Linked DNA regions of Callithrix jacchus. The protein of the gene in region 2 binds, or shares a complex with, the protein of the main gene of each other region. Links are inferred from orthologs where the notes say so. Each region holds a gene or a part of one and is shown on either strand. Other genes may lie near its edges.

What was found. The genes of interacting proteins can lie anywhere in the genome.
Region 1: the proteins of IL1A (region 2) and S100A13 are in contact, whole or in part, in an NMR structure (PDB 2L5X), measured with the Homo sapiens proteins. The link is inferred for Callithrix jacchus from reciprocal best matches to the Homo sapiens genes IL1A and S100A13. Residues at the interface, in NP_000566.3 of Homo sapiens: Asn148, Gln150, Tyr151, Thr194, Ala195, Gln196, Asp197, Leu203, Leu204, Lys205, Glu206, Met207, Gly216, Ser217, Glu218, Thr219, Asn220, His239; in NP_001019381.1 of Homo sapiens: Met1, Arg25, Gln26, Glu27, Gly28, Arg29, Lys30, Asp31, Ser34, Asp68, Ser69, Glu70, Lys72, Phe73.

Annotation. Positions count from the first base shown.
Region 1 is NC_133519.1:14,050,494-14,054,781, reverse strand, and holds the start of S100A13 (protein S100-A13), read left to right. Parts: upstream 1-1,473; 5' UTR 1,474-1,557; intron 1,558-3,873; 5' UTR 3,874-3,921; coding exon 3,922-3,966; exon of another isoform or gene 3,967-4,091; coding exon of another isoform or gene 4,092-4,235; intron 4,236-4,288. Other genes in the region: S100A1 (protein S100-A1), read right to left, coding at 4,092-4,235. UniProt on the Homo sapiens protein: Plays a role in the export of proteins that lack a signal peptide and are secreted by an alternative pathway. Binds two calcium ions per subunit. Binds one copper ion. Binding of one copper ion does not interfere with calcium binding.
Region 2 is NC_133515.1:21,801,726-21,805,244, reverse strand, and holds part of IL1A (interleukin-1 alpha), read right to left. Parts: coding exon 3,298-3,519; intron 3,004-3,297; exon of another isoform or gene 2,920-3,003; intron 1-2,919. UniProt on the Homo sapiens protein: Cytokine constitutively present intracellularly in nearly all resting non-hematopoietic cells that plays an important role in inflammation and bridges the innate and adaptive immune systems.

The DNA of each region.
Region 1 (4,288 bases), on a different chromosome or scaffold from region 2:
GTCTTAAACGAACAAAAGAAAGCAAAAAAAAAAATTAGCCGGGCTAGCGACAGTGCCTGTGTAATCCCAGCTACTTGGGAGGCTGGGGCAGGAGAATCGCTTGAACCCGAAAGGCAGAGGTTGCAGTGAGCCGAGAGCATGCCATTGTACTCCAACCTTGGCAACAAGTGTGAAATTCCGTATCAAAAACAAACAAAAATAGGGCTGGGCAAGGTGGCTCACGCCTGTAATCTCAACACTTTGGGAGGCCAAGGAGAGAGGACTGCTTGAGCCCAGCAGTTCGAGACCAGCCTGGGCAACATGGTAAGACCTTGTTTCTATTAAAACATAAATTAAAAAAATACGAATATCTGGGCCTAGATTAAACCAGAATCTCTGGTAGTGAGGTTTGGAAATGAATAATTGTGGGGTGGGGGAAAGCTACCTAGGGGTGCTTCCAATGTGCAGCTAAAGTAGAGAAACACAGATTTACAGAGTGAAAATACAGGTATGCCTAGTTTCAAAATTGGATTTCAACTCCAGAATTAAGTAGGGTCTTTAACAAGGAACTGAGGATCTGGGGCAGTGATTAGGAAAGGTTTTCTATATTCACCTGGTAATTAGCTCGCAGAGAGCCCTCCACAATATTTAACCCTAACGCTGCCATTAATTTCCAACATTTCTCATTTAATCTCCCTACCATCCTCAAAGCCCTGTCAAGACTCCCACTTTTGCTCAACCCGCCAAATAAGTTCCCTTTTTATCCCTATCAAACCCAACCTCCCTCAATCCCGCCACCAGGTTCCAGTTCAGCCCCTCCCCCGTCCCCTCGCAGGGGCTCCGCCTCCTCCCCGGGGCCTCCACGCTCCGCCACCTGAGCCGTTTCCACGTGCCACCACCCGCTCTCCGCATCTACTGGCCCCTTCCACTCCCCAAGACTCCCTGCTCCTTCTCACTACCGAAACTCACCGAAGGAAACAGACGCCAGGGTTCCTCCCGGGGCTGCCACCACGGCTCCGGCAGGCGGGCCGGGGACCGGCCGAACCTGAATTGACGGTGGAGGGGCTCGGGTTAGCTAGATGGGCGGTTGGTTAGATGCGTAAGCTGTAGTATGCGAACTTAGTTTGTTGTTGCTGGTTGGCTGTCTAGTCGGCAAATCCGTCTGCTCACTCGGCCTGCCCTTTCCCGACTTTCGTCTGCAGCGGCCGCCAGCTCCGTCTCAGTGTCCAAAACAAAATGGCCGCCACGTCCCGTGCGTGTAGGACCGGCTAAAATGGCGTCTACGCAATTACGTCAGGAGTCAGATCTGCGCACGACTAGAGGGCGGGAAAGATTTGAGCTACGCCTGCGCAGAAATCAGAGGCGGAGCCTTATGGCGAAGGCGGGGCTTGAGCAAACGTTACTTTAGCGTTGCAAGCAGTGCTCCGTCCCCCCAGGGGCGTGGCCAGTGGTCCCGTAGTGGGGTCGTGCAGGGTTACCGTAGGCCGTTACCGTAGTGGTTGCACGGCGACTTCCTGGGGTAGTTCGTAGAGGGGATTTTAGTCCCGAGTTCCCTCGTCCCCCCGTTCCCCAGCCAAGGTACACAGTTTAAAAATCTTTACACGGGCGGAGCGCGGTGGCTCACGCCTGTAATCCCAGCACTTTGGGAAGCCGAGACGGGCGGATCACGAGGTCAAGATATCGAGGCCATCCTGGCCATGGTGAAACCCCGTCTCTATTAAAAAAAAAATAAAATAAAATCTTTACATGGACTTGCCTCATCTTCTACCGGACCACTGGGCCTGGGGAATTTGTACTGGTTTTCCCCTCATGTCCACTCGCCCAGTCTGAGAGTTGTGAAGTGCCGTAAATGCTCCGGCCAAGGCCCAGGAGGCCAGTATTGGGAGCACACTCCTCGCGGATCCTTCGCCGGCTCCACGGCCGCCCGTCCATGTTTTCCTCCTCACTTCCTCCTCTCCCCACAATACTGTTTAATCCTTCTTGTGAGGGCACCTTTGCATCTCCGATTTCTCTTCCATGTCCTCCCTCCACACCTGCCATCCGTGTTGATTTTGTTGCAGACCTACAAAGGGATTTATCTTTTCTCTCTGATTTTTTGTTGTTGTTTTGCGACGGGCTGTTCAGGCTGCAGTCAGTGGCACAATCAAGGATCACTGCAGCCTTGATCTCCTGGGCTCAGATGATCCTCCCACTTCAGCCTCCCGAGTTCTGGGATTATAGGCGTGAGCTATGTGCCCTGCTCAATAAGGAATTTTTCTTTCTTTCTTTCTTTTTCTTTTTGCAGATGGAGTCTCCGTCACCCAGACCGGAGTGCAATGGTGCAATCTCGGCTTACTGCAACCTCTGCCTCCTGAGTTCAAGCAATTCTCCTGACCTCAAATGATCTGCCCTCCTCTGTTACCTAAAGTGCTGGGATTACAGTCATGAGCCAACGCGCCCGGCCTCAGTAAAAGATTTTTTAATGGTTTTGTACACAATACAGTGTGCATACGTTTGATTAATGAGAGAATGCAACCCCGCCCCATAGGCACGTCAAGACCCTTTCATTTTTCCTTCCTGGCATTTCTGCTCACAGGTGTGTGCGCGTGTGTGTGTGAGTGTGTAAGTAATGGCCCAGCATCCTTACCCATGTGAAGATAAGGATAGTGATTATTTTGCTTACTCCTGGATCCTGTGTTCCTACACAATGTTTACACATAGTACCAGTTAAGTAAATGTTCATTGGTTGAAAGGAGATTCTTTCGGCCGGCGCGGTGTCTCAGGCCTGTAATCCCAGCACTTTGGGAGGCCGAGGCAGGCGGATCACAAGGTCAGGAGATCGAGACCAGACTGACCAATATGGTGAGACCCCCGTCTCTACTAAAAATACAAAAGCATTAGCCGGGCATGGTGGCGTGCTGCTGCAATATCAGCTACCTGGCAGGCTGAGGCAGGAGAATTGCTTGAACCCGGAAGGCAGAGGCTGCAGTGAACGGAGATAGTGCTACTGCACTCCAGCTGCCTGGGCAACAGAGGTACACTCCATATAGTCTCCTTTCTTTCTCTTTCCTTCCTTCCTTCTTCCCTTACTCCCTCCCTCCCTCCTTCCCTCCTGGCTTTCTTCCTTTGGTCTTTCTGTCTTTTTTTTGACAGTCTCACTCTGTTGCCCAGGTTGGAGTGTAATGGCGGGATCTTGGCTCACTGCAACCTCTGCCTCCTGGGTTCAAGCAATTTTCTTGCCTCAGCCTGCTGAGTAGCTGAGACTACAGGCACATGCCGCTGTGCCTAGCTGATTTTTGTATTTTTAGTGGAGATGGGGTTTCACCATGTTAGCCAGGATGGTCTTGATCTGTCGACCTCACATCTGCCCACCTCGGCCTCCTGAAGTGCTGGGATTACAGGCATGAGCCACTGCCCCGGCCTCTTTTTTTTTTTTTTTTTTTTTGAGAGGGCTCTTGCTCTGTTGCCCAGGCTGGAGTGCAGTGGTGTATCTCGGCTTGCTGCAGCCTCGGCCTCCCGGTTTCCAGAAATTCTCCTGCCCTAGTCTCCCAGGTAGCTGGGATTACAGGCGCATGCCACCACGCCTGGCTAATGCTTTTGTATTTTTAGTAGAGATAGGGTTTTGCCATGTTGGCCAGGCTGGTCTCGAACTCCTGACCTCATGATCTGCCTGCCTCAGCTTCCCAATGTGCTGGGTTTACAGGGGTGAGCCACGGCACCCTTCCTCTGGTTTTATAGCTGAGAAGCTGATGTCTCCTCGACTTCCAACTGGAACCTTGAACCCCCACTTTCCTGGACCATGAGCATTCCTCAAGTAGGGAGATATAATGCACCTCAACCTCTTTCTAAATAAGACACTTCCCCACATAAGGGGAGTTGGCAGTGAACAGTCTTCACTTCTCCACCCACTTCCAGGTCCCAGAGGAGACAGACATCGGATGGCTGGCGAGAGAAGAGCCTTTAATGAAAGATGAGTTGCAGGCTTGGACCGCTACTCTTGCGCCCTTGGTGTGTGTGTGTGGGGGGGCGGCGGGCAAGGGTGGGATTATGGATAGGGACGGGGTGTGAGGTGGAAGCAGGGGGAAGAGGCAGGTCTGGCAGGGTGGAGAGGGAGGGCGCTGCCGAGTGGCTGCTCAACTGTTCTCCCAGAAGAAGTTGTTACAGGCCACTGTGAGAGCAGCCACGAGCACCACATACTCCTGGAAGTCCACCTCCCCGTCTCCATTCTCGTCTAGCTCCTTCATCACCTTGTCCACAGCATCCACATCCTTCTGGGCCTGTGGTGGGAGGAGAGGGAGAGGGAGGTGTATAGGGAGGTGTACAGCACTGA
Region 2 (3,519 bases):
GGCAGAAATAAAGATGATCTTTGAAACCAATGAGAACGAAGACACAACATACCAGGATCTCTGGGACACATTTAAAGCAGTGTCTAGAGGGAAATTTATAGCAATGAATGCCCACCAGAGAAGCAAGGAAAGATCTAAAATCGGCCCCCATTCATCAAAATTGAAAGAGCTAGAGGAAGAAGATTAAAAAACTCAAAAGCTAGCAGAAGACAAGAAATAACTATGATCAGAGCAGAACTGAAGGAGATAGAGACACAAAAAATCCTTCAAAAAATCAATAAATCCAGGAGCTGGTTTTTGGAATAGATCGACAAAATAGACAGACCACTATCAGGATTAATAAAAAAGAAAAGGGAGAGGAATCAGATGCAATAAAAAATGATAAAGGGGATATCACCACTGACTCCACAAATTACAATCAGAGATTACTACAAACAACTCTATGCACATAAACCAGTATACATGGAAGAAATGGATAAATTCCTGGACAGTTGCACCCTCCGAAGCCTAAACCAGGAAGAAGTTGAAACCTTCAAATGACCAATAACAAGGGCTGAAGTTGAGGCAGCAATTAATAGCCTACCAACCAAAAAAGTCCAGGTCCAGACAGGTTCACAGCAGCATTCTACCAGACGTACAAAGAGGAGCTGATACCATTCCTTCTGAAACTATTCCAAACAATCCAAAAAGGCAGAATCCTCCCGAAATCATTTTATGAGGCCAACATCATCCTGATACCAAAACCCAGCAGAGACTCAATAAGAAAAGAAAACTTCAGGCCAATATCCATGATGAACATAGATGCAAAAATCTTCAATAAAATACTGGCAAACCGATTGCAACAGCACATCAAAAAGCTTATCCATCATGATCAATTAGCCTTCATTCTGGGGACACAAGGCTGGTTCAACATACACAAGTCTATAAACATAATCCACCACATAAACAGAACCAAAGACAAAAACCACCTGATTATCTCAATAGATGAAGAGAAGGCCTTTGACAAAATTCAACTGCACTTTATGCTAAAAACCCTCAATAAACTCGGTATTGAAGGAACATATCTCAAAATAATAAAAGCTATTTATGACAAACCTACAGCTAATATCATACTGAATGGGCAAAAACTGGAAGCATTCCGTTTGAAATCCAGCACTAGACAAGGATGTCCTCTGTCACCACTCCTATTCAATATAGTATTTGGAAATTCTAGCCAGAGCAATCAGGCAAGAAAAAAAAATAAAGTGTATTCAATTAGGAAAGAAGGAAGTCAAATTATCTCTATTTGCAGATGACATGATTGTATATTTAGAAGACCCCATCATCTCAGCCCAAAATCTCCTTAAACTGATAAGCAACTTCAGCAAAGTCTCAGGATACAAAATCAATGTGCAGAAATCACAAGCATTCCTATACACCAATAACAGACTAACAGAGAGCCAAATCATGAGCAAACTCCCATTTACAATTACTACAAAGAGAATAAAATACTAGGAATACAACTAACAAAGGATGTAAAGGCCCTATTCAAGGAGAACTACAAACCACTGCTCAAGGAAATAAAAGAGGACACAAACAAATGGAGAAACATTCCATGCTCATGGTTAGGAAGAATCAATATCATGGAAATGGCCATGCTGCACAAAGTAATCTATAGATTCAATGCTATCCCCATCAAGCTACCAATGACCTTCTTCACAGATCTGGAAAAAAACACCTTAAACTTCATATGGAACCAAAAGAGAGCCCTCATAGCCAAGACAAACCTAAGCAAAATAAACAAAGTCAGAGGCATCACACCACCTGACTTCAGACCATACTACAAAACTACAGTAATCAAAACAGCATGGTACTGGTATGAAAACAGAGTTATAGACCAATGGAACAGAACAGAGGCCTTGGAGGCAATGCCACACATCTACAACTATCTGATCTTTGACAAACCTGACAAAAACAAGCAATGGGGAAAGGATACCCTGTTTAATAAATGGTGCTGGGAAAACTGGCTAGCAGTGTGCAGAAAGCAGAAACTGGACCCCTTCCTGACACCTGACACTAAAATTAACTCCAGATGGATTAAAGATTTAAAAATAAGACCTAACACCATAAAAACCCTAGAAGAAAACCAAGGCAAAACCATTCAGGACATAGGCATAGGCAAGGATTTCATGACTAAAACACAAAAAGCATTGGCAACAAAAGCCAAAATAGACAAATGAGACCTAATTAAACTCCAGAGCTTCTGTACAGCAAAAGAAACAATGATTAGAGTGAACCGGCAACCAACAGAATGGGAAACAATTTTTGCAATCTACCCATCTGACAAAGAGCTAATATCCAGAATCTACAAAGAACTAAAGCAGATTTACAAGAAAAAAACAAACAAACCAATCCAGAAGTGGGAGAAGGATATGAACGGACACTTTTTAAAAGAAGACATACATGAGGCCAACAAACATATGAAAAAATGCTCATCGTCACTGATTATTAGAGAAATGCAAATCAAAACCACATTGAGATACCACCTCACACCAGTTAGAATGGCGATCATTAAAAAATCTGGAGACAACAGATGCTGGAGAGGATGTGGAGAAATAGGAACACTTTTACACTGCTGGTGGGAGTGTAAATTAGTTCAACCATTGTGGAAGACAGTGTGGCGATTCATCAAGAACCTAGAAATAGAAATTCCATTTGACCCAGCAATCCCATTACTGGGTATATATCCAAAGGATCATAAATTGTTCTTTTATAAGGGCACATGCACACATATAATCATAGTGGCACTGTTTACAATAGCAAAGACCTGGAACTAACCCAAATGCCCATCAACAATAGACTGGACAAGGAAAATGTGGCACATACACACTGTGGAATATTATGCAGCCATAAGAAACGATGAGTTCGTCTCCTTTATAGGTACATGGATGAACCTGGAAACCATCATTCTCAGCAAACTGACACAAGAACAGAAAATCAAACACTGCATGTTCTCACTCACAGGTGGGTGTTGAATGGTGAGAACACCTGGACACAGGAAGGGGAGCATCACACACTGGGGTCTGTTGGTGGGGGCCAAGGGAGGGATGTGGAGGTGGGAGGTCGGGGAGGGATAACATGGGGAGAAATACCAGATGTAGGTGACGGGGGGATGGAGGCAGCAAACCACATTGCTGTGTGTGTACCTATGCAACAATCCTGCATGGTCTGCACATGTACCCCAGAACCTAAAGTACAATAAAATTAAAAATAAAAAAATCCTTGAAAACAAGGATATTATTGTGCTTGACCCCTTACCTTCTTCTATGTCATTGGCGATGCCCTCCAGGTCATCATCAGTGATGGAATGGTTTAAAGTCAACCGTCTCTTCTTCAGAACCTTCCCATTGGTTGACACTATCACCACACTCTCCTTGAAGGTAAGCTTGGATGTCTTAGAGGTTTCAGAGATACTCAGAGACACAGACTGATCCATGCATTCTTCATGGTGTGAGCCATAGTTTACATCATAGAAGGATT